Linked DNA regions of Rattus norvegicus. The protein of the gene in region 2 interacts with the protein of the main gene of each other region in a pairwise test. Links are inferred from orthologs where the notes say so. Each region holds a gene or a part of one and is shown on either strand. Other genes may lie near its edges.

The links.
Region 1: the proteins of Ndel1 (region 2) and Mllt10 interact in a two-hybrid assay, tested with the Homo sapiens proteins (2 studies listed by BioGRID and IntAct). The link is inferred for Rattus norvegicus from reciprocal best matches to the Homo sapiens genes NDEL1 and MLLT10.
Region 3: the proteins of Ndel1 (region 2) and Ccser2 interact in binary tests that used the Homo sapiens proteins (3 or more experiments, as listed by UniProt). The link is inferred for Rattus norvegicus from reciprocal best matches to the Homo sapiens genes NDEL1 and CCSER2.

Annotation. Positions count from the first base shown.
Region 1 is NC_086035.1:85,844,434-85,854,466, reverse strand, and holds part of Mllt10 (protein AF-10), read right to left. Parts: intron 8,038-10,033; coding exon 7,883-8,037; intron 7,509-7,882; coding exon of another isoform or gene 7,498-7,508; exon of another isoform or gene 7,417-7,497; intron 5,732-7,416; coding exon 5,543-5,731; intron 5,182-5,542; coding exon 5,093-5,181; intron 4,955-5,092; coding exon 4,590-4,954; intron 3,949-4,589; coding exon 3,852-3,948; intron 418-3,851; coding exon 220-417; intron 1-219. UniProt on the Homo sapiens protein: Probably involved in transcriptional regulation. In vitro or as fusion protein with KMT2A/MLL1 has transactivation activity. Binds to cruciform DNA.
Region 2 is NC_086028.1:54,037,911-54,047,943, forward strand, and holds part of Ndel1 (nuclear distribution protein nudE-like 1), read right to left. Parts: intron 9,920-10,033; coding exon 9,783-9,919; intron 5,771-9,782; coding exon 5,597-5,770; intron 2,823-5,596; coding exon 2,731-2,822; intron 1-2,730. UniProt on the Homo sapiens protein: Required for organization of the cellular microtubule array and microtubule anchoring at the centrosome. May regulate microtubule organization at least in part by targeting the microtubule severing protein KATNA1 to the centrosome.
Region 3 is NC_086034.1:12,740,077-12,750,209, forward strand, and holds the start of Ccser2 (protein FAM190B), read right to left. Parts: upstream 5,928-10,133; 5' UTR 5,712-5,927; intron 1-5,711. UniProt on the Homo sapiens protein: Microtubule-binding protein which might play a role in microtubule bundling.

The DNA.
Region 1 (10,033 bases), on a different chromosome or scaffold from region 2:
TGGCCTTAGAACCTTATATGCAAATTCGGATCAATATACTTAAGGGACACTCTCCTTGCAATATATCCAGCTGCTAAAACAACTGATCCTCACGAGGAAAACTCATAGGAACACCCGCCCTGGCTCCCTGGGAACCCTGCCTCCAAGGTCATACATACATACATACATACATACATACATACATACATACATACATACAACATACAACAACATACTTACTGTGACTTTCTGGCTTGTGCTGTCCCCGTGGATGGTGAGGAAGGGGTTGGTGGTCGCCGTGTGGAGTGGGGGCGCCGGAGGGCCTGCCAGGAGGTTGTTGATGGGGATCTGCGTGGGCCCTGGGAGCTGCATCTGCTGAAGCTCGGGGGGATGGTGCTGCTGCTGCATCAGCTGGTACAGGAAGGCCTGGTGCTGCTCCTTCAGCAATGAGACACAAGAGCAGCCTCAGCCAGGGAGTCAGCAAGCCTGCCTCCCCCATCTCTCCTCTACAGTGTTATTTGAACCAGTCGCATTACAACAGGAGCCGAGTGTGGCGGCTCAGGCCTTCAGTGCCAGCATCTGGCAGGCAGAGGCAGGTTTATCTCTCTGAATTCCCAGAACAGCTCGGTCTGCATAGTGTCATGCCGGCCACGACTCTCTGAAGTCTGTTTAAAAGCAAACAAAACAAACACCAGCCTCTCGGGAAAGCAACTGCACTGGGTAATAACCCAGCACCACTTGGGAACTGACCATTTTTTGATTGACCGATGAGTTGATTTTTGTTTTTCAGGACAGGGTTTTCTCTGTGTAGCCCAGGCTGTCCTGGAACTCTGAGACCAGCCTGCCTCTGCCTCTGCCTCTGACTCTGCTGGGATTAAAGGTGTGAGCCACTGCTGCCACCCGGCTGAACTGCCCATTTCCAAGACAAGTGGGCAAACACAGGAGAAGTGCACTCAGATGAGGCTGCCCGTGAGGAACAGAGAACAGGAACAGCAGCAGGTGGGTGCTGTGCTGCTTGGCCCTGTTACCACACAAACAGGCCATCTGAGGGAGGCCTCAGTTGAGAAAACGCCTCAGTCAGACTGGCCTATGGGCGAGCTTGCTGGGCTCTGTCTCAACTCATGAGTGACGCAGGAGAGTGTGGGCCACAGTGGACAGCACCAGCCCTAGGAGCAAGGCAGGTCACCAATGGTTCTGCTTCAGTTCCCGCCAAGGTTCCTGCTGTTCTGTCCCTAGATGGTGGAGTAGCCTAGAAGCCAAAATTAACATTTGCCCAGGTGCTTTGGTCAGTGTTTTGTCACAGCAACAAAGAAACAAACTGAAACAGGGTAAGTCACATTATAAAAAGCTACTCTAGAGGTCCTCACAGGGACCAAGCCCTGGCATAATTCTTTTCCACGGTTTCTTTCTTTCTTTTTTTTTTTTTTTTTCCTTTTTTCCCCCCGGAGCTGGGGTCTGAACCCAGGGCCTTGTGCTTGCTCGGCAAGCGCTCTACCACTGAGCCAAATCCCCAACCCTTTTCCACGGTTTCTAAAGTTGCCAACAACTCCTAACAGAAGGTATTTTCTTCCCACAGTTTAGCTCTTCCTTCCTCAGCATCAATTCCATTCAGGAGTCCCAGGGTGCTGACCACTGCAGTCCATGAGTGTCGTAGTCAGAGCTGCTGTCCCAAATCAGGAGTGAACAAAGCCTGCAGGGGATTAGCATCACCCCGTACACTGAGGAAGCAGGAGGGCAGTTCTTGAGCCTCAGTGAGACATTGTACAGGACACCCTAGACTCCTGAGAGCCCCGCCAGACTGGCAGTCAGAAAGGATGTGAGGTCAGGAATGCTTTTGAGAGGGGGGGGGGGGGGGGATTTAAGAGTTGGCTGGGGAAAGGGACAGATTATCATCTCAGTATTATATCCTTGTATGACCTGACACTCAGGTATAGAGGGCCTGCCTCGGTCTCCTGAACCAGCATTCAGGGATTAAAGGTGTGTGCCACCAGTTAAATGAGGTTTCTTCATGAAGTCACAGTAGTATTTCCAAAAAAGAAAAGAAAGAAAAACAAAAAGGACTGTACAGGTCTGACTTAGGTTGGAGCTGGGAAAGGCTGGCTGGGGTAAGGAAGAAGCGTGGTAGCCCAGTCTAGGCTGAGTTTACAATGCCCAATGCCCTCAGGGTGTGCCGTGGGGCTACACAATAAGCAGGTGGGCCCATGGCATGCAGCTCTGAAGACAGCTTACGGAGATCAAGCACAGCTGTAGGGGCTGTGACATCATCAAAGTTGAGTGAAGAAAGATCAGCTGTCAGATGTGACTGCTGGGTCAGGAAGGTGTAGCCCACGAACTCAGAAGTCTATATTGCCTTCAGCGGTGGGCAAGTAAGAGCTGAGTGTCTGGCTTTGGAGACGTCTATACAATCAGTCCGGCCTGCACCTCCTGATCTCTGGCCTTTACTTCCCACATGTGAGGACTGCTTGGGGGGTGGGGGGGTTTGCTACTGTAGCAGGACTTTTGCTACTTTGTGGGTTATTTCTTCCACTCTTCTCCACCCCTCTAACCAGGAGAGAAAAAGGATAGAGGGAAATGGGTGGCGTGACCCTTGGACTACTTCCTGCTGACTGGGGGCGCCAGCCGGGTTCCTTATGGCAAGTTGGAGCCTCACCACCAACTTAACAGTGACCAATAGCAACCAACCAATGACCTGCCCCATGTATGTACCCTCCGAGGAGTTCCCAGAACTCCGAATGTCACAGCACTACACAAACTATCTGCACCTCACGAAATCATGCCCCTGATCAAGCACGGAGCAAATCACAGTCAGCTGCTGTGGGCAAACTGAAGCAGCCCATAACCTACCCGTGATTAAGATCAAACTGTACTGTCAGACTCTGTCATTTGTCAAACTGTACTGTCGGACTATCTGTCATTTGTTAGAGACCAGAGCTACAGCTGTTTTTGCTGACACATGTCTGAAATGCACTGTGAGGAGGCGGAGGTTGGAGGGCGGTGAGCTCAAGCAGCCGAAGCCACACCAATGCCACATCATCTCCAAAACAGGCAGCGTCTGTCCGTCTTTCACCTGGGTATCCTCCCACAGTCGAAAATTATTGTTAGAATACAAAGGATAGAATATACATTACACAGTGTAGTTTAGGAAACTGTAGCAAATAGAATATACAAGATCCGTGCAGATGACGTGTTTAATCGTTCTGATTTACAGTAAAGAGTTGGCAGGTGGGCTCACTGTATGTGATAATGGGTTACTACTTCTCAGGAAACTCTGCCGTCTATTCCTCCGTATCTCCGTAAAGTCAGTAGCCAACTGTTTAGGGTTCCTTTTCTTGCTTTGATCAAAATGCACTACAGCTGTACAGTATCGTACCAGGGCCGGCTCTGCATTAGTGACTCCCGTGTCCATCGCTGAACCCACCTTCTCCCTCCTGACACAAAATGATTCCACACAGGAACCAATGTCTCTACGCCTCAGGCATTTTCATGTCACGTCTGTGCAACATTCTTCAATGGGTTCTTTAAGAAAGTCACATGTGAGGTCCTGGTTCTACTCCCAATACCACCAAAGAAAGAAGTGAAATGGCCCTCACCCTCACCTAACATCTGTCGTCCCTTAGACCATATAATGCCTGCCCCCATCCTTGGAAGGTACCATGATGCAAGTGTGTGCGCTCTCTACCTCTCCTCTCAGAATGAACGGCTCGCACTCCAATCCCCAGAGCCTAGTTAACATTTGTAAAACAATCAACCCGCAAACAGGAGGGCACAGGTAGGCCAAAGGGCTCGACAACTTCTAAGATCCACATCCACAGAGGAGGAGCCCATTCCAGTCACAACAGCAGACACTGACAAAAAGAACACAGTCCACTTACCGGCGTGAGCTGCTGGGAGTTCAAGAGCTGCTGGAACTGCTGCTGCTGGAGGAACATCTGTCGCTGCTGGTCCGACAGCAGCCCCAGGCCCGAGGCACTGAAAAACCAGCACAGCCGTGATGTCTCCTGTGCCCCCTCAGGGAGGGCAGCACGACGGCAGCCTCCTCACCAGGAACTAGCAAACTGCCTGAACTACAGTACTTCATTATGTTCAAATCATTCCCTCTCCTTATATACGCAGACTTGACTGTCAGCGACAGAAACTCAGTCAACAAGTTAGGTTAAACAAACATAAGAATTCATCAGTCCATCATGTCATCGAAATCTATGTTAGAGAAGTATCAAAACTGCTGTTAAAATGTACATGTGACTGCCACAAAAAAAAAAAAAAAAAAAACCAACTTTTTAAAATTTAGTATAATTTTATGTAATAAGGAGAAGCAACATTTTAAGATATATATTCCAGATCAGGACAATATATTCAATTCAACACAATATATTTAATATGATACTGAAATTAATCTTTAATTGAATTACATCATTTTAAAAAACAAGCCTAACATTCATTAAGTAGCTAGCACTTAATTTTTCCTAGAGAACATCTGCAAAATACATTTAAGAAGCCTAACCCAAAATAAGGACAACACTGATAACATGTTGCATGAAAAACAAAAACAAGAAGGAGGAGGAGGAGGAGGAGGCGGCAATGACAACAGCATACCGAGCTCAGTGTCTTACCTGTTAGTCAGGGCGGCGGCTGGCATGGGATGTGCTGCATTAGGTGGCACACTGGTGTGGGTGAGCGGGGCAGGGTTCTGGGATATTGTGACCGGCGTCTGAATAACACCATTTAACGCTCCTACAATGCCATTGATTGCCAGCTGGTTACCTGGCAAAGCTCCAATTATTCCACCCACTGCAGACACAGCAGGAATGGTGGATGTGACAGTCTGCATTCCACTAGCTAGTGGCCCCACTGTCACGCCGTTCACCTGCTGAACCCCACTAACTCCAGAGCCCTGCTGGGCTGGACTCTGCCCAGCAGGCGGGGGAGTGGAAAGAGCAGAAGAGCTGCTGGTGCTTTGCCCACTGGAAGTCAGGTCCTACGGGAAAGAGAATAAAACCCAAGTTGAAAAGAACACAGCAAGAGTGTTTAAACATAATTTTAAATCACTAGATGTAATGTGCAATGTTCCCAAGTACAACACACAAATGAACATAACCACACGCAAAAAATTCACCTGATTTAATACAGGAAGAGAATTGTCGGGTACAAAGCTGTTTCCTATATGCGGGCTCTTACTGCTGTTCAGAGAGTCAGTAGTAGGAGCTAGAAACAGGAAAAGATAGAAACAGGGACCCTGTTAGTTGCATCATGTGTGGGATTAAGAGGATGCTGAAGCCCACAGCTCTGTTACTCCTAACACTTACTTAAATGGGGGTGGGGGAGAAGGTGGTGTCTTTGTACTGAATGTTGTAGCTTTATTTCAGTAATGAAATCTTGCATCTAAAGGATTTTATCATTAAACTATCCATTGAAGTAAAAGAAAACTCAAGGGACTTGTTAGGCTGTCTCTGCCCCTTAGAAGTAGCTGCTTCTTCACGGAAATGGTGGCCAGGTACTGTTCTCTGTGTACATGACAGTAAGAGTCCATCCATGGTCCTTAGAAACAAAGTATTCTTGTACTCACCAGTCTGTGCTGTGTATGTGTGTATCTGATGAGATGGACTAGGGTTTGTCGTTATTGCTGGGAAAGGCACTGAAAGCTGTGCGTTCAACAACTGAAGACGTTCTTTTTTGGCAGTCAAGTTTTTAATCTGTTCTTCTAATCTTCGATTTTCAACTTGAAGTTGATGTAATGACTTTAACATTCCTAAAACTGGCAAATATTTGTGTGATTTTAAAGTAAAGACAACTCCACTCCCACGACTAAGTACTTTATGGTCATAGTGTGAACTGCTTCAGACCTAAACATGTGGAAATCGTGTGGGCTAATCCTGGCATGACTGAGCCTTGTTCCAAGGTCTGACTGTAGCTACAAACATCATGTTCTATTGAGTGTGTACACAAGGAAGACTGTACACAGATCCACCACACGGAAGCTTTGCTGCATATACCTGTGTAAGCATGTGTGTCTGACAAACAGCAACCCACCCCCATCACGTAGTTTCTATCCTCAAAAAAGAGGTTTCCTCAAAATAAAAATTAAAATTTCAAGGTACTTTTCATAATTTTTATTAAAAAAATAATGATGACAATAGCTGAGACTTACAATAGGAAAATTACCACCAATATGCTTTACTCAAATAAGGACGTGCTTTCTTAGGTGTTTAAACATGCAGGCGCTGGGAGAGGCAGTCTGTGGGGAGCGAGCATGCAGCTGGCATGCACAGGGCCTGGGCAGACTCCTCAGGAGCCCAAGCAGTCGCAGCCACAGCCGCCAATGCTGCCACACACCTGGCAGAAAGCCGGCCAGTGCCAGCTGCTCACCATGTCTCTCTGCAGGCTCCCAGCAGGGAGCGCTGTCTCTGCAGCCCTTAACTTCTCTCTGGAGGACGAGGCCTCCTCATCTGTTAACAAGCTTTGGGCCCTGCCTGACCATTTAGATACTGTGTTAATTCTTCCAAGGCTTGGACTTTAACTGCCAATCAAGAGCACTGTTGTAATGGTGATGGACATCTGAAAAACTCCAGGTATGAAAAAGTCGTATTTGCTTAACATGAGCTCAGGGCCTTTCAAGGACCCTCTAGCATTACAAGATTTAAGTTTTATCCCCTTAAGGTGCCCAGATGAGAAACGATAATACAGCTAGCCTGCCCTCTGCCCACATCTTTGCTCTGTTTAAAAGGTTCTGCCCACATCAGTTTCCTTACAGTCAACAGTTTTGGGGCACCATACATAAAGGATCAATTCAAGGCACTTATTAGCTCACTAGCATATTTTTTAAAGCCTAGTTTTTAAAAAACAAAAACAAAAAAACAACAACAACAAAAAAAATAAAGCACTGAAATTTTCCATACCAAAATGATAAAAGCCACCTAACTCTTCTCCCTAAGCTGCTCCAACTGTGTTTTTATGGCATCATGTTACCACACCCCACCCCACCCCGTTGGTAGTAATACTATGTATATATACAAAACATACCATATAATCTCATAAGTATGATTAACATTCTAATTAAATAAAAATTTACTAATTACTATTCCTTTTGCAAGAACAGGGTCTAAAAAGTAGCCCTGGCTCTTCTGGAATTCATTACGTAGACCCAGGCTAGCCTCAAACTCACAAGAGATCAGTCTGCCTCTGCCTTCCAAGCGCTGGGATTAAAGATGTGTGCCACCTGCTTTCTACCTGGTAAGTGGCATTATTAATCAAAAATGGGTGTCACTATGTCTGCCTAGTTATTATTCCTTCAAATTCTAAAACCTGATACCTAGCTACAGCTGACTAGAGACATTTTCTTTTTAAAAGAAGATATCTGTGCATAGGAATCTTTGTTTAAATCCAGAGCTGAGGGGAGAGACCAAGTGTTCTCACAAGTGGTCAAGAACAAAGTCTAGTGGGCAGAGGGACAGCCGCAGCCATTTATTTCAACCAGCAACCAAATAACACAGCAAGTTTTGTCAGTGTTCATGTCATTTATCTTCATACCAACCCTAGGAAAAAGGTACAGTTTCACTCTTCTTGAGTTCACAAGACACTGCACACTACACACACACACACACACACACACACACACACACACCCTGCAGCGATAGCTTTGACCAAGCGTGACACACACCTTCTCTAACTACATATAATACGTAACACAGTGTCATTATTCTGGGCAAACACTTTCTGCTGCTGTGTTTCATTTATTGGTTTGTATTTTTCGGGGAAGTTTCTCTGTGCAGATCCAGCTACCCTGGAACGTGATTTGTAGATCAGCCCGACCGAGACCCCAGAGACCCGCCTCCCTCTGCCTCCCGAGCGTGCGCCACCACCGCCCGCTTCCAAGTGCCCGTCTTAGACGCAAGCAGTGGCTACTTACTGTCACTCGGAGTGCCCTGCTCTAATAAAAACTGCTGCCCTTCGCTCCATTGCCTCTCCAAGAGCTGCTCAATACTCACTGCCACTGGAGGCAGGCTTTCCAAACCACTGCTGCTTGGCTGATCATATCGAATCTGCAAGTTGCTCACAGGGGATCTGTCAAAAACATTCATTCTCAAGTTAAAAAGAAGGGAGTGGTCTAAGTGGCTGCACACCCAGCCCCTACGTCCTTCTAAGAGCCATTGCCTGTACACGTTTCCTAGCACCAAGTGGCCTATGGCAGAGGTATCAATAAGATTGCTAGAGTCACTATCATTCTTCCTCACTAAATTATAAAATAGCTGAACACAGTAAATAATTAAAACCACTAGAGAACAATCGACCACTGTGCGCTGTCTTTATAGAGCACAGGGAACCCGACATCAGGAGAGCTTTAAAGCAGACAGCAGACAGGAGAAAGGGCCAAGAGTGGACTACGGGGCTCAGCCTCACTGCTCCTGCAGAGGGCCCTGCTGTAGACCCAGAACCCACATGATGGCTCACAACTGTCTGTAGCTCAAAGTCCTGGGGATCTGATGCCCTCCTTCTGGCTTCCTACGGTGCACATACATGACGCACATGTAGGCAAAGTGCGTTAATAAAATTAAATAAAACTCTACTGCTAGGTCTCAATGTGCAGGCTATCAGTACAATACTACAAGTAACACTATCGAGGGCATCTGAATCTTAAGGTCCAATAAAAAGAAAAATTTAATGATTTTCAATTAAAAATAAAAATCCGTTTCAGTTCTATCAATCCAAAGCAACTTATCTGTGTAGAATGTAGATTATACAAGCATTTTTTAATGTCATAACTTAGTTCTTCACACAGTTTTTAACCCTTGTAAAAGAGATGAAAATGAACGGGCTCATTCTTAGGCCCGGTCTTCCTTTCCCATCACTAAACGGGCCATCCTGGTCTCTGGTCTCCATTCTAACTGAGTGCATGCATCGAGAGCTGTTACCATTTTCCAAACACACTAAGACAGGTAGGCTGGGCCATTCCACTCCGGGCTGACTTTTAGAGAGTAATGTGACCCTTAAATGGCGCTTAAAGTAATCTAGTGCCACTCACTGCATTATGTTCTGTTTAGCATAAAAACATTTTTACTAAGCAAAATCACACTAAGGATTCTGAACCCACTCACATAACGTGTGTGTGATGATGTAACTTTAGAAAGGGACAAGGAAACGCTTTCTCTACTAAACATGAGCAAGATTCCCTTAACTTTCTCGTTTGAAAAGAAAACCATAAACTGTATAGAAATACAATATAAAAATCACAGGGCAGTGGTATAATTTTTTCATTCTGTAGCTCAGATTCCTCATTTCCAAATGAGGAATATTTTAATATTTTCTCCAGAATTTAATAAGAAAAAAACCACATTACTTTTACATAATTATATTTAGGAATGATATGGGGAAAGGCACACATCTACCCACACTTGGGAAATGGCTGAGGTTACTGGACAGGCTCTACAACAGTAAAGAATGTGGAACTGGGTAGCAGTAGTTCACACTTTTAATCCCAGCACTGGGGAGGGGGAAATCTCTTCAGTTTGAGACCAGCCTAGACTTCAGAGCAAATTGCAGGACACCCAGTGCTACATAGAGAAACGTAGCCTTTATAAAAATAAAATAAAAGGTGCTCCTTAGTGAATATTCCCCAGCTGAGTCAGCAACACAAATGTTCCTTTTGTCAGAATAGGAAAAGCTCTCCTTTTCAGAGGAACCTCTTCCCTGACATGAAGACCCGAGGACCAAGCCAGACCTTCTGTCCTCAACCACCCAACTAAATGTGAGGCACAGTTTATAAAACTGGAGAAAACAAACCAGAGAAGGACGGCACAGTTGAAAATGAAATAAAAAGGCAGACATCACTAATTCCCAAGCCCTATTATAAACTGGCATCTATTCCACAGCACTGGTCCCCCTCAACAACAAATCCACAACCCACTGATAAATTACGCAGTGGTGATGGCCCTGGCTTATCATGGAAGACCTAAAACACGCGTAGCACACACAGAACTGGATATACTCTGCTTCCAGCAGCCTAGAAGGAACGAGGGGACTTTAGGACGCCTCACACAGTCTTGGCTTACATCTTAGGACA
Region 2 (10,033 bases):
CATCTCTCCACACCTGGATATCATGGAATCCCTCTTTCCCAAAAAATTTCTCCCAAATGAAGTATCTCTCCACTAGCTCCCAAAAAAGAAAAATATACATCATGGTGAGAAAAAGAATAGAGCCCATTCCAATTCACACAAGACTGAAGGATTAGAAATCCACAGAAAAACACTGTCAGAAACTTATGGACATCCTGCCCCACCATTTCAATGAAAGCATGACACACACAGGCTTCAGTTCTTCACCTTCTGGGCTCCTGGGCTCATCCCCTCCCCACCCTCTCATTCACCTTACGGCCCAGCTCACTTTGGACCCTTCCAGATGCCCCAGCTGTCCTCTCCCTCATATCTACAACAAAACCAGTCTCAACCACACACACACACAAACCCAAAAACATGAAATAGAACCAAAAACAAACTGAAAATTCTTTTTCTTCTGCCCCTTTCTTATGGTAAAAGTACAATGAACTGGTTAAATAATGTCAGATATAATGCCCCTCTAGAGTGCTCTGACTTGTAAATAAATTCATACTGAAATCTTTAATTTCCTTGTCCATCCATGTGCATATCTGTTGAACATGTCACATGGCAGGTAAAAAATTGTTTCAGGCATCAGTGATACACACAGGCAGTATAAGCCCAGGGTCTTTTCAAAGGAAAAAAGTGGTCTAGAGATTAAGAAATAGAAATTTGACATCAGTTGGAAATGAACCATGACTGTGAACAGTAAAACCATCATTGAAAGAATGGACAAAGAAAAACCAAGAGAAATGGGCGGCTGGGTGGGGACAGACAAGAGACAGCATCAGGGACACCAAGAAACGAGGACACTCTAAGGAGGGTAGGGGCACACTGGCATTGAATGCTTCAAATAAAATTCAGTAGAGCAGTGCACACATTGTTAACCACACTGACATTACCACACAGTCTTAGGGGCTTGATCAGGAATGGAGAGCAAGCCAGAATGTCTAGAGTATGTATACATCGAAGGCCCACAAAGGTGATGGTGAAAGAGAGATGTAATGTCAAGAATGACCTTTAGTTTTGCTTTGTAAAATTAAAAAAGCCAGGCATGAAGGGGCCCAGCACTTTGGAGGCAGAAGCAGACAGATTTCTCTGAGTTAGAAGGCAGCTGGTCTACCTAGCAAATACCATGTCCATCAAAGCTACACAGTGAGACCCTGTCTCTAAAAAAGAAAAAAGAATAACTAGGTATGCTAGATAATCCCAAGCACTAAGCAGGCAGAGACAGAAGCAGCATGAGTTCTAGGCCAGCCTGGGCCAGTGTGAACTATGTTCACAGTAGATAGTGACTCAACAAAAAGAACAAATGGAGTTGAAAGGAGAAAGGGAAGAGGTCAGGCTTACGAGTGGTACAGCTCCGTGGCAGAGTATTAGCTTAACATTCAAGAGGTTACAGGGACCAGCAAGATGGTGCAGTGGAAAATCCTTAGCAGATCAAAGTGCTTGCCTCACAAGCCTGACAACCTGAGTTTGATCCCTAGGACTCATATTTTAACAAACAAACCAAAGACCTGGAGCTAGATGATGGCTCAGTGGTTAAGAGAGTGTACTGCTCTCCCAGGGGACCTGAGTTCAGTTCCCAGAACCCTTAATCAGGTGGCTGTTAAGTCCAGTTTTAGGAGATCTGATTCCCCTGGTCTCACAGGACACATGCATTCTCATAATATACACATTCAGACACACATATACACATAATTAAATAATAAAAATTCTTAAATCAAAAAGCCAATGTAGTATTTAGTAGCCCAGTAGGGGTTTGCATGTGTGCATAAACTTGCAAGTATGCGTCTCACTCACTCACACATACATACACGCACACAACGCATGCACACATGTAATTTTTAAAAACTTTATTTTAAAAGGAAAAAGACAGAAAGAAAAGCCAGAATTGGAGAGCTGGCTCAGGTTAGAGCACTTGCTGCTCTTACAGACAACTGGGGTTTGATTCCCAACAGCCACACAGCACCTCACAACCATCTGTTAACTCCAGTCCCAGGGTATCTAAACACTCTCTCTGACCTCAGCAGACATCATACACGTACACGTACACGCGCACGCACACACGCACACACACACTCACACACACACACACACACACACACAGTGCACAGACACATCCAACTCATACATATTTTTATAAAATTATAAAAATACATAAATGTTAAAAATTGATAAAGAAACAACCAGTGTCATATTTCAAAAGTCAAGTTGCTAAAAACAAGCTTAGGGCCAAGAATGAGGCCCAGAAGTTGAGGTGTCCTGAGAGCAAGAAAGCCCCAGATAAAGACTGGCTGGCAATGCCCCCAGCCACATACTATCCCACAAAATACAAGACAAAGAAAAAAAACATGGGTTTGGGGATTTAGCTCAGTGGTAGAGCGCTTGCCTAGCAAGAGCAAGGCCCTAGCAAGGCCCTGGGTTCGGTCCCCAGCTCCAAAAAAAAAAAAAAAAACCCAGGAAGATAAGAGGCAGGGGCAAGGAACAGAACTAGACAGGAGAGCAATGTCAAGAGTTACATAGGTAACCTCAGAGCCCAGGCTCTTCCAGAAATGCCTTTTGCCCAGGGCTGGGGTCTTCTCAGGTCTAGTCCTTGCTCATCAGTGCCTGCGGTGCTTCTCAGCTTCATAAGGTTCTCACCACAAGAAAGAGACAGCCCAATACTACCTCCACAGTGGAAACCCTAGTGATAAATAATTGAATGCTTACCCCTACTTTCCGCAAGAGATCTCCCACGATGTTTAGTGCTGATATCCTAGCAGAAGGAGTTAGTGGACTGGTTCCAAAGCCATTTGGTATAGCTACAGAAAGAGAAAAGCAGAGTAATGCCATCAGCAGCCCCCTTTATATTTGGGTTATATTGGATGATGTTACAAAGTCAAACACATTTGAAGCAATATCATACTGTTTCAAGGTACAAAGTATAAAGAGAAAAGACTCTTAATGATCAGACTACATCAGTGTGCCACGTCTCCAAACTGCTGCCAGGACAAAGATACTGAAACATCAACAGGAATTGCTGGAGACCCTGAGAACAGAACTCTGAGGGCAGAGGGCTGTCCACTGTTACCCTAACAGATGCTACAAGGATGTTTCCTTATGAGTATCGTGCCACACATGAACACACAGAGACTGTGGCAGCACGCACAGTGCCTGCACAAGTCCAAGCCAGCCAGAAAGCCAGCTAAGATGGGAAGTGCATGAGAATCCCTAACCAAGGAGCCATTGCCAATTAACTGACAACAATCCACAGAGGCAAATTAGTTTCTCCAAGGGCATCTGACAGGGTCGACCATACTCACAGGCAGGCTCTATGCCCAGTAGCAGAGGACCAACACAACCAACTCAAAGGTATTCTTAGACCTTTTTTTGGTCTCCTACTGTTTTGGTTCAGCATTTTTTACCTTTCTGATCTTCTGCCTGTACATTACATTCTCAGTTCTGTGTTTTATGGGCTGGGTGTGTCTGCATATGTATGTGTTTCTCATGTTCTGTTTTTCCTGTTAGTTCATCAGCTTTGTTTTACTCTTGTTTGTTTGAACTTCCCTGTTTTCCTAAGACAAAGAAAGGTAATAGTAAAAGGTATAAGAAGGTATAGTGTTGGAAGGGTGAAGAGGAAGGAAGGGTCTGGGAAGGGATGAGGGAGGGAAAACAGGATCAGAATGTTGTATAAAAAAATTACTTGCAATTGAAAAAAATAAAAGAATACGCCAAACTGGGTACAGTTATAGGCAGGGAATCTTTGTGAGGTTGAGGCCAGCCTTGTGTGTGTTGGGGGGGCGGGGGGGGGGGGGGGGAGACAGAGACAGAGTACCAGGGTAGACAGGACTACAAAGTGAAACCATATCTCAAGAGAAAAAAAAAAAAAAGGAAAAGCAAGGCAAGACAAAGAGAAGAGAAATACTGTGCAGGGGCTGGAGAGATGGCTCAGTGGTTAAGAGCACTGACTAGATGAGTACACCTACAATGTACTCACATATATGAAACAAATAAATCTAAAAAACCACACACATATAAAAGAAATACTGTGCCAAGCCAGTAATCAGCATGATAATATTCTCAATAATGAAATGTGACTGATAAAGGAAATTGAATCCCTTTCATTCATTTAAATTAATATAAAGTTTAACAGTCACTTGTGGCTACTTGAGCAGCACAAATACAGGAAATGCTGTCCTAATTGCCCAGAGAACCTCCTCTCACTCTAGAGAATAAAATGTATTTTAAGAAGGGCAAGAGGAGACAGCGTCTGTTGAGGGTGAAAAAAGGGCGAGTGGAGGAAGCTGGGATACGAACTGCAGACTACCTAAACAAGCTGGAACTGGAAAGCTCTGGGATTGCACTGCAAGGCTCTAAGACTGGTTACAGACTGCTTTACCTCTTATGTGCACATAACAAACACTGACTGACAACAGGTGAATCTTACCAGTTCCCCTGAATGTTACCTTAGTGCGTAGTTCAAGACCTATCCAACAGAATGTTCTGAGCCAACCATATAGCAATCCAAATAGTAACTTAAAGATTCTCTTCATATCTGTATCCTGTTTTTCTATGACATACTAAATGGCAAAAGCGAGAAATAATTATTTAGGTAGGATCAAAAAACTTAACATGAGAGACTGGGTGTGATGGCACATGCCTGTAATCCCAGAACATGGGAGGGAGAGGCGCAAAGATCAGGAATTAATTCAAAGGTCATCTTCAGGACAGCCTAGGCTTGATGAGACTACACCTCAAAACTAAACACCAGGGGCTGGGGATTTAGCTCAGTGGTAGAGCGCTTACCTAGGAAGCGCAAGGCCCTGGGTTCGGTCCCCAGCTCCGAAAAAAAGAACCAAAAAAAAAAAAAAACAAAAACAAAAAAAAAACTAAACACCAATCTATGGTAGCAAAGAAATGTGTAAGGAATAACTCAAAGAAAAATCCTCTGTAAAACTTGATCTTCTTGTACTTTCAAATTCTCTACATGGAACTGAAATTATAGCTCAGTGTCAGTGCCTTAGCCAAGCACATACAGAGCTCTGGGTTCAATCCCCAGGCCCAAAACAGACAAATTAGACAGACAGAGAAATCTGCACGAACATATATCACAATAACCAAAATAAGCTTTTAAAACTTTTAACTTTTTAACTTGCGGGGCATGGTGGCACTCCATAACCCCAGCACTCAGGAGGTGGAGGCACGGAATCTCTTGAGTTAGAAGCCGGCCTGGTCTACAGAGTGAGTTCCAGGAGCCAGAACTACTCAGAGAGAGACCCTGTCTTGGAAAACATAGAAATAAGTAACTTTTTCGGAGCTGGGGACCGAACCCAGGGCCTTGCGCTTCCTAGGCAAGCGCTCTACCACTGAGCTAAATCCCCAACCCAAATAAGTAACTTTTAACTTTAAGAATTTTACTTAAGCTGCTCTTGTGTTGAGTGCAGACTTCATCTCACAGTGACCTAGAAAAACAATTCTACCTTTGTTTCCTGGATACTAAAGTAACTTGTTCATCATTTAACTGTAGCAGCTTCCCTACATCAGCAAATGCATTTCAAACCCATCATCTAACATGGCTGAAAGAGAAAATACAAACCTTTTGGTGAAGGAAAACTGTTTTCTGTGCCTTTCCCCACAGGCGTTGCAGGCAAGGAGAGCGAAGCCTGGACGGCAGAATCCATCTTCTCACAGTCCAGAGTTGGAGAGCTGGGAGCAGACTTTCGGGTCACTTCCTGTTGCCGTTCCCGAACTGCTAGCTCTTGCCTTAAATCTGCAAAATGTTGCAAACAAAAGCAGGAATCCTCATTAGAGAGAGCAACTATATCCTGGCTCAAGTCCCAACCAAAACACTGTAAGACATTCCTCCTAAGTTACAGTTTCTCAAAACAAGCTTCTATTCTAAAAATGTTTATCTCTGGAAAAAAATGTGAACTTCCCTAGAATTTAAAAATGTGGGATAGTGAGATGGCTTAGTAGCTTAAGGCATTTGTTACCAAGCCTGACAGCCTGAGCTCCATCCCCAAGACAGACATGGTAGACTGAGAAACAAACCCTACGAGATATCCTCTGACTTCCACATCTGTACAGTGGCACGCACACACGCATACACACAGTAAACATAATTTTTAAAAAAATAATTTTAAACTGCTATAACCTCTCAGAGAACAATATTATGCCCAAAGGCAGAAAGAAATTGAGCAGTGAGAGCTGGAGACGGCTTTTCCGCTAGACAAGTTCAGTTCCTAATCCATGTCAGACAGATGCCTCTAACTCTAGCTTCAGGGGATCTAACACCCTCTTCTGGCCTCTGCAGACACCTGCACATAAGTGGCATGCACATACACACATAAAATAATGTCTTTAAATAAAAAAAAAAAAAAAGGGCTGGAGAGATGGCTCAGTGGTTAAAAGCACTGATTGCTCTTCTAGAGGTCCTGAGTTCAAATCCCAGCAACCACATGGTAGCTCACAACCATCTGTAAATGGGATCCAATGCCCTCTTCTGGTGTGTCTGAAGAGAGCTAAAGTGTACTCATATACAATAAATAAATAAATCTTTAAAAAAAAAAAAAGAGGACACAAAGTAGAACTCATAGTGAAACTAAATAACACAAAATATTCCTAAACAACTTCTCATGTGTATATATATATATATATATATGTATATGAGATATATATGTATATATATATGTGTGTGTGTGTGTGTATTGCATATGTCACAGATTACTACGAAAAACCAATGAAGATTTTAAGTTTTATATTTTTTTTAATTATTATTTTGTTTAAACAAAGTCTCACTATGTAGTTCTGGTAGGCCTGGAGTTCTCTATGTAGATGAGGCTGGCCTCAAACTTACAAAGATCCAATTGTCTTTGCTTTCAGAGTACCTGGATTAAAGGCATGCACTACTACACCTCAGATTTTTTTTAAACTACCACTATGAAATCCTTTTTCAATACTGAATTTTTAATGTTTTAAATTATATAATGACCCTGAAAAATATCTTATGTTAAAAGAAAAAGGATAAAAAGAAGCAGATCTCTGAGAAATTTAAAGCCAGCCTTGTCTACATAGAGAGTCCCAGGACAACCAGGGCTATGCAAAAAGATTCTATTTCAGGAAAAGAAAAACAGGCCAGGCAGCGGTGGTTCATGTCTTTAATTAAGACCAGCACTTGGGAGACAGATGCAAACGGACCTCTGTGAGTTTGGGGCCAGCCTGAGCTACAGAAGAAGTTCCAAGACAGCCAGGGCTACACAGAAAAACTGTCTTGAAAAAACAAAAAAGAAAAAAAGAAAAAGGAAAAACAAAACAAAGGATACGAAGTTACTCTACTTTTGAGATCAAAAACGTCAAAACAGGATTACAGACTGACACATGCAACCTATATCCACAACAGCCTTGTTCACAGGAACTAAAGACGCAAGCCGCCCAATGCCCATTCACAGAGGAGAAGAAATGATGGAGTGGAGTTCTTAATCCATTTTCTGTAAGAAGGGGGAATGAACAAATTCTCAAAAGCTGTACTTTGAACTCCACACTCATGCAGGCAGGCACAGACATCACTCACACACACACACACACACACACACACACACACATTTAAAAAATTTTGTAAACAAAAAAAAAATCCAGTCACAACAACATAAACAAACCTTGAAGACACTAAAGTTAAATCAACCAGTCACATAAACAATAATAAATATTTTAAAACCATCTCGGTATGGTGGCACAGTTTTAATTTTTAATTCCAGCACTTGAGAGGTTAGAGGCAGGGAGATCTCTGATTTGGAGGCCAGTATGATCTACATAGTGAGATCTAGGCCAGCCAGGGCTATACAGTTGAGACCTAGTCTCAAAAAACAGGATAGACAAGAGATTAAATTTGTAATGTTTTGTTTTGTTTTGGGGTTCTTTTGCTGTTGTTGTTGTTGTTTTGTTTTGTTTTGTTTTTACTGCAATTAAAATAAGTAAGATGCTGGGGGAAAAACTCAGGGATAGAGCACTTGCCTAGCAGGCACTAAGTCCCACCACCTCAAAACAAATGATGAGACGAACAAAAAACAAGACTGGGGATGGAGCCCAGAGGTGTGGTGCTTGCCTGTCATATACAAGGCCCTGTGTTCACTCCTACTACTGTGAAACAAGACCTATAAATAAACAATACCAAGATAATAACTTATATATTACAAAAATTAAAACAATTCTTCAGGGGCTAGAGAGGTAGCTCAGCACATAAAAAGCACTCACTGCTCTTCCAAAGGACTAGGGGTTTGGTTCCCAGCACCCATGTGCTAGCTCACAATTATCTCTAACTCCAGTTGCAGGGATCTGATGCCCTCTTCTAGCTCCTGAGAGCACCAAGCATTCAAACAGTACACAAGCATGCAGCCAAAACACTCTTTACACATAAAACAAACCTTTTAAAACCTATAACTTAAAAAGAACTGTTCAGGGGTTGGGGATTTAGCTCAGTGGTAGAGCGCTTGCCTAGCAAGTGGAAGGCCCTGGGTTCGGTCCCCAGCTCCGAAAAAAAGAAAAAAAGAAAAAAAGAAAAAATAAATAAATAAAAAGAACTGTTCAGATGATTACAGCGCCCTCATGAAAAAGAAAATAAAAGGCACTGAAAATCTATAGAGAGAGATGACATAGTTGAACACACCTTCTGTAGAACTTCCCTCTCTTCTCAGCACAATGAGACTCAGAGTATTATAGCGGAAACAAGAGAAGGGACAGTAAATGCTCCCTGCTGCTGAGCCATCACCTCTCCAGACCCAAACCTGCTCTAAAAAATTTGTGATGCCAAGGTTACAGAGGTGACTCAGAGGTTAAGAGCACTGACTGCTCTTCCAGAGGTTCTGAGTTCAATTCCCAGCAACCACATGGTGGCTCACAACCATCTATGATGAGGTCTGGTGCCCTCTTCTGGCCTGCAGGCACACAAACAGGCAGAATGCTGTATACAAAATAAATTTATAAAAAAAAATTGTGATGCCATGTATATTCCCCATATTAAGCAGAAAAAAAAAAAAGAGAAATATATGTGTCTATTTTCATCTGGAAAGAAGGAGGAAATTATGTAAGAAGTCAGAAATTATATAAGGGAAAATATACAGACATATACAACCATAAAAAATGAACTAAATATATCAAATTACTAGTGGGCTTTCCTTCTTTATAATATTCTCAATTGGGGTTGGGGATTTAGCTCAGTGGTAGAGCACTTGCCTAGCAAGCGCAAGGCCCTGGGTTCGGTCCCCAGCTCCGGAAAAAAATAAAATAAAATAATATTCTCAATTGTACTGTGTTTCTGAGGAGAAAGAAGTTTTAAACAAAGTGTGTACTAGTTACACGTATAATATGTAAACAGATTGATATATGTATATATAAAATGATATGTATATAAAATGAAGTTATTTAAATACAATCAATAAATAAAAAAATCCCAACTGAGTGCAGTATGACACTGAAAAAGCTCAAACTCTGTGCCTCCTTTTTCTCATCTATAATATGGAGGTCACAGCTACTTCTTAGTGCTGATGATATGGGTATGAAATAAATTGCCAGGTTAAACGCACTTTGGCACAGTGACTGAAAGAAATTTAAAGGCATATAAAACTAGAACTTCAGAGAAACTGAAGGCTGGAAACAGCTTGGAAGCAGAGTGCTTACCCAGCATGCTCAAGACCCTGTGATCCTAGCACCATCAAAAGGCTTAGTCCTTGACTTACTCAGGGACCAGGCAATGGATAAATACTTGCCAAGTTATAAAGCTTACTTACCTCTTGCTTCATCCTTTAACCTCTGTACTGAGACCAACAAAGATTCCTTTTCATCAAGTTCACTTTCTAAAAATGCATTTCGTTCAATGGCCTGATTTAGCCTTTGTTCAAAGTCTTCCAGTGAAACTATTGTTGCCCTTTAAAACAAAATTATTTGAAGCCCATGAATTAAACAGCATGTACAAACAGCTAGTACAAAAGAAAATCAGTTTATCTCCTGCCATTCTTAACCAAGTCAACCTGACCCAATT
Region 3 (10,133 bases), on a different chromosome or scaffold from region 2:
CCTTTAAGAATCCTATATCTCTTCATAGCTCAAGGCCTCCACTTAAGCAATCTGAAATCTCTAAAACCAAAGGTTCACTCTGAGACGTTAAATCAACTAACTCACTAGACAAGCGCTAAACTCAAAAACTACAGATAATATTTTCTGACCAGCAATTTACTCATAAAGAAAGGAACATTCTGACTGGCTGGTTTCTTAGTAGGCTGCGTGACACCCTAGTGTCGGCAACCTAGCAATCAGAAGTTACAAACCAAAAGAGACAGGAAGCTACAGAATGTTGAGAAAATATAGGGGTGGGAGGGTTATCAGCACAACAGAAACTGTCACCTGAGGACACATCAGCCAGAACTAACTAGAACCTGGAGTGGTGTTCCAAGTGCAGAGTGTGATCGTACATACGTCCTCGGGCTCTCTCACTTAAGAGATCCCTCAAACCTATAAGTATCATATCCCAGGGCTTTCCTTCTTGGTCACTCCTTTGAACTAGGTGATTTCTTATTTCCCAGAAGTCCCTTGCCTTCTTACAGTGTCACGTTATCCAGTACTCACTCATACTTCGTACTCAGCCCTATTATTGACAAGCACACAAATAGATAGGGATTAGATGTGCCACAAAATTAGGTACAATATTATCACAGAGCAATAGAAAAATAAGAAAATATATATATATATTCTTCAATCTCAGTTCTTTCCAAATTGCCAGTCCACATTCTCATCCTCTTACAAAGGGTTACTCAGTCTTTTATCTTTCAAGAGCTATGTTCAATCCCCATTTCCAACTCAGAGTCCAGACTTAATTTCATATGATCTATTTCTATTACCTCCTATGAGAAACACAGTTTAATATATTTCTACATTGTTACATCAGCCATCTCCCCAAGAGATACCATACAGTATTCTTAAAACCAACAATCTTCAAAGATGACCCTCCAACCATATTCAAACTAAGCTACTAAACTACACAAAAAGGTAAACAGAAGAAAACTCTCAACTATCACAAACTGTTGGCTTGGTTCTAAATACATATCTTTCAAATGCATAGAAATCGTCCAATCTTTAGCACGGCAATAAGATAATATGCCTTTAAAGTGAAGGCAGACTATCTATACCATGGCTTGCTACAGACACCTACTTCAGCAGATCCCTTTACATCTCATCCATAAAATGACTACAAAAAGCCTACTTTCTAGGTGGTAGCAATTAGAAACAAAGGCATGTCAAATATCAATGTAGCATATCTGATAACTATTGTTCTTGGCTATCTTATCTGTCTAGAATACATCACTTCCCAAAAAGAGAGCAGATAACAAGGCTTTGTTTCATAGCTTTTTAAAAGGTTAACAATTCAAGTTAAATCAGAAATGACCTTCTGGTCAACCCTGAACAAACAACAACTTGAACAAATACACTACATTCAGGAACTCTTTGGTTTGTCTAAAATGTACCACAATTTTAATGCATTATCAATTTAGTGTTACTTTAAGCATTCAAAAGTAAATGTATACCTTGATAAATATCAAAAATTATAAATCATATCAGCAAAAGCCTGTCAAGGTATTCAAGAATATTTAAAAGTGCAATGGGGGTCCTAAGACTGAAAAGCCTGAGAACCACCCTGCTAGATATTCAAAGTAATAGGATTTATCTTTCAAAAGCAAGCACCAACCAGAAACATGGCTCACGCCTGCAACCCCTGCTGGACGATGGCTCTAGAAGCTAAAGAGGGTGGATGCTCCAACGGTGGGGTGCCATCATACTCAGACCTCACAATTAAAAGACAAATTTACCAAGGATTTAAAAGTCAAGTATTCTAGTAAAATTTTAAAAAGCTACCAAGTGTTTGGTACTAAAAAGTAAGTCAGGCCTGTGATTCATAGAAGGTCCAGTAGGAAGGAACAGGATTCACAGTCAGACAAGGTTTCAGGAAACTCTGTCTCAATCCATAAATATAAAAAGTAACAAAGATAATACCTGAAGTGCTAATGCTAATAAAGTTAGTAAAAATATTTCAGGGGCTTTGGGTAAACGACAACCCATTCACAGGGAGGAGAGAATAAAACTGTGATAAACCCTGCAAGTGCCTTTTCCGGGAGACAGAAAGCACTGGGAACAAAAGGCAGTAAAAGTAATGACCAAACTTCTGCTGGAAGAAGAGCAGCTCTTCCTACAGTACATCCAGCAACAGCTTTTGAAACTGATAAAGCTTTTACTCTCTGATGCTGTCATTCCTCCCAACGGCCGTTAGCCTTCAGGGAAAAAAAGATGACTACGTGGTCATATGCGAACTGCAGAATCCTGACAGGACAGGGAGTGGCATTTTAGTAAGGCCATCCGAGACCCCTAAATATACTAACTGCACTACTCAAAAGCAACTCCCGTGTCCACCTAGAAATAAGTACTATTTTCTGTAAGACAGTATAAGTAACCCAATGGTATAAAAACTAGTGAAAAGAAAACCCATCAAATATTAAAACCCAGATTAAAGGTTACATTTACGCACCAATCGGTGGTATAAAATTATTTTAAATTGACAAGGAACAAGGAATAGTTTATTTTGGTTTTATTTCTTGTATAACAAAATGTCTTTTGGAACTAGTGGGGCCTACTGTGCTAAGCCCATAGTTGAAAACTGATGTGCTAGATACATAAATCTACAGTTATCAACTTTTGTCCTTAAAACGCTATCACAGGAGTAATCAGAGCAGCTCTTCTCACAACAGGCAAACCATACGTGTAATTCTAGACATGCTATTAACCATCTGTAACCCAGTTATACCAAAATCTCACTTTACAGAAGGAACGGTGCAGGGTCTCCATATGGTAACCAGAGGCTTGCAACACCAAAGTATAAGCAAGCTCCAGGCCAGCGGAGTGGTAAAGGTTTCTCCCATTTTCCCAAACGAGGTATCATGTTTCCCAGCCACTCAAGGGCTTTCGGTCCGTCCCTAGGAGTGGCAGCTAGGGAGGAGGAAAGCACAAGGACTGCGGTCCAGAACAGTGAGGAGCAAGCAAACACGAGGTCAGAAGCTGTGACACAGAGGTTCGTGGAGACAGAGGCAAGCTGCTTGCTTGTCCATGCTTTAGTTGTTCAAAGTTATTTCATCAGTGAACCAAATAATCTGCTAAGTCTTTCCAACCTAATATCCAATACAGCCCTTTTATAATAAATATCCATTTCTCTCATATCGCACCAAGACGGTGATCCCTTTATTAGAAATTAGAAGCCAGGCACTGATGCCTCATTTCTGTAAACCTAACACTGCGAAGCCTGGGGGATGAGGAGGGGCTGCAGAGATCTGAGCTCAGCCTAAGCTGAACAACCCAGTGAGTTCTGGGCTAGCCTGGGTTAAAAAATGTAATTAGAATTAGGATAGAGGGGAGTAAGAGTGAACTAGAAGGATGGCCAAAGGACATCTATGTTCCCAGATCTGTCCCTTTCTAGCCATAACTGTGGGCAAACCCCTGCACCTCAAAATAAAGTTCTAGACCGACCCTTACTTGCCATGGTCTTCATTCCTCCATCTTCAAGTAGACTGACTTTTTCCCCATCATAACGAGGATGTCATTCCTAACCAGTACCCGTTTTTACTTCATCCTTAAGCAAATACAAGCAGTAATGTTGGGGCTGGAGAGATGGCTCCGCAGTTAATAGCATTGGCGGCTCTTTCAAAGTACCCCAGTTCAATTCCCAGCAGCCATATGTCATCTTCCAACCGTCTGTAACTCCAGTTCCCGGAGCTCTGGCACCCACACGCAGACAGAAAAGCGGGCAAAACACCAAATACGTAAAATTTTTCTAAAAATCATTTTTTTTAAAATACTGATTTTTTTTTCCCCTCAACTTTCTGGTACTGAAAGACAGTCCAAACATATTTAGCTCACCCTAAATCTGCATTCGAGCCTGGACCCTCTCCTCAGAATGCACTGAGTAAACAGATTTGAGCAGTATGTGCTGTAGCAGTAAACTTAAAAAGACACTCGAAAGCCTGAGGGAGACAATATATAAGCAAATCATTAACTCCCAATTGATGAAGTACTCAGTGCAGCCTGGCATGGTGCTACTGGATCAGTGAAAACAAGAGATGAGATGCCCAGACGTCAAGCTCTATCACTCTAGTGGGAATGCAAGGTGTTTACTAGGAAGGCCATTCTGGAGCCAGGAAACAAAGGAAGATGCCATCTTCAGTAAACTGCAAACAGTCCCAGAGAGAGGACCTGTGTAACAGTAGATGAATTGAGAATGCAGACAGACACCAGAAACTGGGAAAGACTGAAGGAATGGAATTGGAACCATGAAATTAAAAGTCTCTTCTTCCCCCACATAGTAAAAGCAATCTGGCAACCAGCAAAAAAAAAAAATCTACCTGAGGGAAGGTAAATAAAAAAAGTTCCTGGTCCCAGGACAGCTCCTAGCTTTCTTGTTATGGCATATTAAACAGGACAAATTACAGGTTAAGGGTTCTAAGTGTTTTTAACCTAGAGATTGAGGCCAGTGTTGTTGAGAACAAGGAAGAAAACCACCATATAAGAGAAGGGCGATGCGCTCTAACAAATTAAGAGAGACAAACATTAATAAAGTCTGGAAAGAAGACTGACTTCACCCATGCAAACCACTTATTAATGTTTACATCCTTACCAATTATAGATTATACATTATAATACCTACTTTATACTTATCCTCCTCATTCAATTTGTTTAAAGTTTTTTAAATCTAAATGATGATACGCTGATCAACTGTCTAAATACATATATTCCATTAATACTTAATGTTCTCGATAAAAAAACAAAATGCTTTATCAAACAGCTACTCTGGGAAAAAAAGGAAATGTTCATTCTCATTCATAACCGCCCTCCCCAACCCTCTGGGTTTTCTTTTGAGACAAGGTCTAAGTAGTTTTTGCTATTCTGGAGTTTGCTCTATGGGCTAGGCTAGCCTGGAGCTCACAGAAATCCACCTGCCTCTGCTTCCTGGATGCCAGGATAAAGGCGTGAAGCCTCCACACCTGGTTTCTCCTTAAGCGAAATAGGACACTCCAATCTTGGACAGCAAAGAATCTGTGCACTAGGAATTTCCATTGCTAAGGCCTACTTTATGATCAGCAAACCTAATTGGCTAGGTAGTCAGCAAAGATGAATTTGCAATTATTGAAATTCAAAATCAGGCTTTATCACCAACGACCACCCCAAATGGATTACCCCCTCCCTTTACTTTGTCAAGAAAGTAGGTACATTTTAAAACTGTATAAAAATAGATGTCAAAAGAGGGAGAGGAGGGGGAAAAAGCATCTGAACCTACAGATACGGTGTAATCCAAAGTTCTCATGTGTTTTAGGGCGTGTCTTTGTTTTGACTCAGTGATTTCAAAAAAAAAAAAAATCCCACTCATTCAGGGCTCTCAGGTACTTCCCCTTACCAACGCGAGCATCTAGGCTTTGAAATCCCAGGGCATCTAAGCCTCGCCCTGATTTCCCGGTGCAGGAAGGCTGCAGCCCGGGTGTCCCGCGGTCCCTTCCCGTCTCAGCACCACCGAGCAGGGGCATCCGGCCTGCCCGCTGCACCGCAGGAGGCTCGGGAGAGGGGGCGGGGGCTCCGAGGGTCGTCCCAGAGCACCGACGCCCAAGGACACCCGGCCCTCGTTCCGCCCGCGCTGCGCCCGGGAGCCAGGTAGCCTCCAGCGTCCCGAGACCCCGGCCCTGACCCCCGACTCTCACCGTGCGGAGGTCGCGCTGCCTCCTCGGCCGCGGCCCGGCTGCGGGTCGCCCAGCGACCTGCCGGCCCGAGGGTAGGAGAGAGGCGAAGGACAGTCCCGTCACATCCCCGTCCGCCCAGCTGCCTGCTCCGCAGCAGCCAGCATCGCCTCCACGGCCTGCGGGAGCGCCGGACTTCACCGTCGCCGCGCCCCCTCCCTTGGCCGGCACCTCCTGGACTCCGCCCTCCAGGGCCCGCGCACTACGCGTGCGTCGCCCCGCCTCCCGGACAGTCCTTGCGCAGGCGCGAGTCTCACTGGGCTAGGCCCGCCTCCGGGCCCGCCCCACCCTCGCGCCAGCCGTTCCCAGGCTCCGCCCTGATCCACTGACCTTGCATCTTTGCCCCCTGACTCAGGTCTTTTCTGGTATGAACCTTTCACTCCAGTCTCTTGGCCGACCAACTCAAAATGGCCCTCTGGATTCAAATGTGCTGCTTGACCACGACCAAACCTGTCAGCTCCTGCTCCAGACTACTAGGAGTGATCTGAAGCAACCATGACTTTGTTTTGGCCTGTCTGTGGCTATGCCTCAGCCAGGCATACTGAATCTGAGCAGAGATTGCGATAAAACGCTGAGAGCTGAGAAAAGGAGCTATCTTATGAGGGTGTGGATCTCAATCCCATTCCATAAATCATCTCTCCAAGTCATTGAGAGTTACCGTGCAAGCCTGCAGTATCTGGCTATCTATTATAAGCGTTGAAAGTGATTATTTATCTGACCCTAGACTGCCTGTTCCCCTCACTAGCCCCAACAGCTCAAATGAAATTAATAACATTGAAAGAGAACTTGGAAAGGCACCACCTCTCCTCCAGACCACTAACATAATTACGCTGTGATAGGGGAGGAGACACTTGTGCCCCTCCCTTAGTCCATCAGACTGTTGGAACATTATACTCCAAATAATTTAAGAAAATAGATAATTCATCCTGGAGAAATGAAAACAATACCGAAGGCCTAGCGCCGTCCGGAGAAGGAGCTTGCCTCTCAGGAATTGCAGCTCTGAGGTCTCAGATCACTTCGCGAGATAGCCTTGAGTGAGCTGAAACAACGCTAGGTCAGCAATACCGCACCGTAACCTAGCGGAGTATTCAATTTACCACTATTTCTAGCTCTCTATTTAAACTTAAACTTCTTGTCAGTACTCCTGAAGGCGGACTTGGTGGTAACTGGACCCCTTTTCTTCCTCCAATTCCCTATGTGGCCATATTGAATAGCTCTCTTTTTTATACGTTCCATTATTACTTGTCTCTTTAATTGGCCAATAGAATAATGATAGGGAGACTTAATTTTGTGGGTGATAAAATGTTGGAAAAGACTAGGGTTACATGTAGTACATTTCTTTGTAGATTAAGTAAATCATTAGGAGAGCAAAGCCTCAGACCTCTGAAATACAGGCTCCAGCACAACACTCATGAATTTATGCTATGCTTTGAACTTTATGCTACAATCAAAGATCAGTTGAGAGATGGGGAAAAAGGGGCTCTTCACAGATTGTCCTTGGGAGCTACGCAAGATGCAACAGGTCCAATCCGCTTTATAAAGACTCTGGGAGGGGGGAGGATGATCTTTCAGTTCCCCAAACCAAGATGAGCTTTGCTTTTCTGAACCACTTGGCTGTTGTCTTGTGACTCCCGGAATATTTGAGGTAAGCATGTATTTTCTTTGGCTGTTTGACGTGGTAGGTCATCACTTCCCTTTCTTCCACAAAGGTAGGATCCTCACAGAATGCTTGCTACATATGAATTTTTACAGGCTTCATCTCATTTTCTGTGTTCCCGTTTTTGTCTTTGTCCCAATTTTCTCACTTCCTTGGTTGTCACCGTGCTTCTATTTCTATTAGGCACTTCTTTCAATGTATGCCCCCAGGGTTTTAATTTACAGGACGACTGAGATGACATGGTGAAGTCAGTGTTCTGAAAGATTATTTTCATGGCTTACATTTCCTGAAAGATGGGATGCCATGTCATGTAGGGGCATATGGAGTGGCACTGGGTGTGTCTGGGAGTAAAGGGAAAAATCCAGACCAAAGCTATTATTGGAATGTATGTGGAATAGGAAGGTAAAGACGCAGGGATGTCTTGAGAATGGCTAGCGTAGGTAATGTCAGAGGATTCTAAAGCATGGATACCTCTCGAGTTGTTTGATAAATGACGGTGGGTTATTTAGATCAGAGAGAATACTGGCTTGGTTTGTGGAAGTTAGACAAAGGGGCAGTTGTAGTTATGGACTTGAAATTGGCCAGAGGCTCTATCACAAGATTGTTAGATGTTCATGAAAGCTGAGTTGCAAAGGAAACATAAACGATGTTCGCCATTTGTTGGTATGCTGAATAGGCAAACCTAAAAATATATATTTAGACACCATTTTAGAATTTTGTATAGAAAATGATTAGGTTATATTTTAAAAGTCTGACACTGGAAGAGCTGTGCATGCTGGAGGCTAAGGGTACGAAAGCAGACCAAGCTAAATATTTGACTCCCAATGTTTAGTATGGCTCAGAATCTAGGAGGAGGGTTCAGTATAACACAGATTGCTGGCCCTAGAATTTCTGAATTCGGTAGGCCTAGGGTGGGGCACAGGAATTTACATTTCAGACAAATTCCCAGAGAACTGAAATACTGCTCTCAGGATCAAACCTGGAGAACCACATGAGTAGAATACCTCTCCCAACAGCCAACGGGACCTGGTGGGGAAAACTCTCCATCAACGCCTGAAGGGTTGTCAAGATACAAAGGTCTAAAGGTCTAAGTATCACGTGTCATGTGAAAAACATATCACGAGTGTGCCAACCTTTGATCAGTAAAGAACAGCTGAGAAAGCCAGAGTGTGACCCCAGCCCATGACCTGAGGAGGAAGACTGACGATGAAAAGGCAGAGGCAGATGGTACGAATTGCTATGATAGGAATGCGCATACGTCGACCAATCCCCTTTGTGGGTTTATTTTCTCAGTGTACAGAGTTGTGTCAGAGCACAGAGGTAGAAAACCCAGTTATCTTGCAGGATTGCCACTTGGAACTACTCGTTAAAAACTGAAATGAACAATAATGGTTAGGTCCACTCTGTAGGTAACCTCACTTGTCCTCAGGCCTGAGCTTCACCCCAGAAATTCTGTGGTGAAAGGAGAGACACAACTGTGTTCTCTGTCTTTCCTTTTAAAGACCCCTGGGCTGTGTTGGACTCGGTTGAATGATACATAATGATCTGTATTTTAGGGTTGGTTAGTTAGCTGCATTGGTTCCGCTTGTAACCTAGTTCCTCTTTGCTTCTGACGCTAAGGTCTGAACTCACGTACTCACTCATGCTATGAAAGAAAGCCCTCCTCCAAAGAGAGAGCTTTGCAGAGAGATTTTTATGGTTCCAAGGCAAACAGCACTGGGAAACAGTCAGTAAGACTCCAGGAAGAATTGGTTCTGGGGGCGATCCTAAATACAACATTAAAGGGTCTAAAGAAATAATCCTTCTCCCCCAGTGTGTACTGAACCCCCGCTGCATGCCAAGTACTGTCTCAGATGTATGGGGTTAGGTCATGAACAAGATGAGAAGTCACTGGGGTTGATTTACTGAAATCTCCAGAAGTTTTCCCTTTAAAGCAACATGATAGGAACTTTTAGCCCCATGGACACAGAAGACTGTCTTTCTCGGTCAAGATCTTTGCCTTAGAGACACATGGATGGCATCTAGACCCTACCCCATAGACACAGAAGACTGTGTTCCTTGGTCAAGATCTTTGCCTTAGGGGCACATGGATGATGTCTAGACCCTACCCCGCAGACACAGAAGTCTATCTTTCTTGGTCAAGATCTCTGCCTAAGGGACACATGGATGACGTCTAGACCCCTACAATATTAATAAGCATGTCCAGCTTTAAAGGGCCCTGTATTCAAGATCAGGGTTTTCATTGATGTTGTAGAAACCCTGTTTCTCAGCCAGGAAGATGATAAAAGGGAGCAGAGGAGTGTGTGTGTGTGTGTGTGTGTGTGTGTGTGTGTGTGTGTGTGTGTGTGTGTATGTGTGTCCTTTAAGATTGACTGGCTATGGTCCAGAAAGATGATGAGGGGTATCATAGCAGGCAACAGGTACATTTTATTTTGCCTACACTATGATTGTTTTTGAAGATGGATGTTACCAACATACAAAAATTAATAACATTGATTATAAAAGCCTTGTTTTCAATTTTCTCCATTATTTCCCAACGGTGTCATGCCCTGTTGTTTTAAAGTGACTGCCTCATTCTAGAAGCCACCCACATTATTCCTCTAAATCTCCTGTCCCTGATTCATGTAACCCTTCACAAAGGCACAGAAGAGTCTGATTTCTAAATGGAAAAAGCTCTCAGGGTGGGTTCACACTCCTGTTGTTTCTCCCTGGAGAAGAGAAACTCAGTC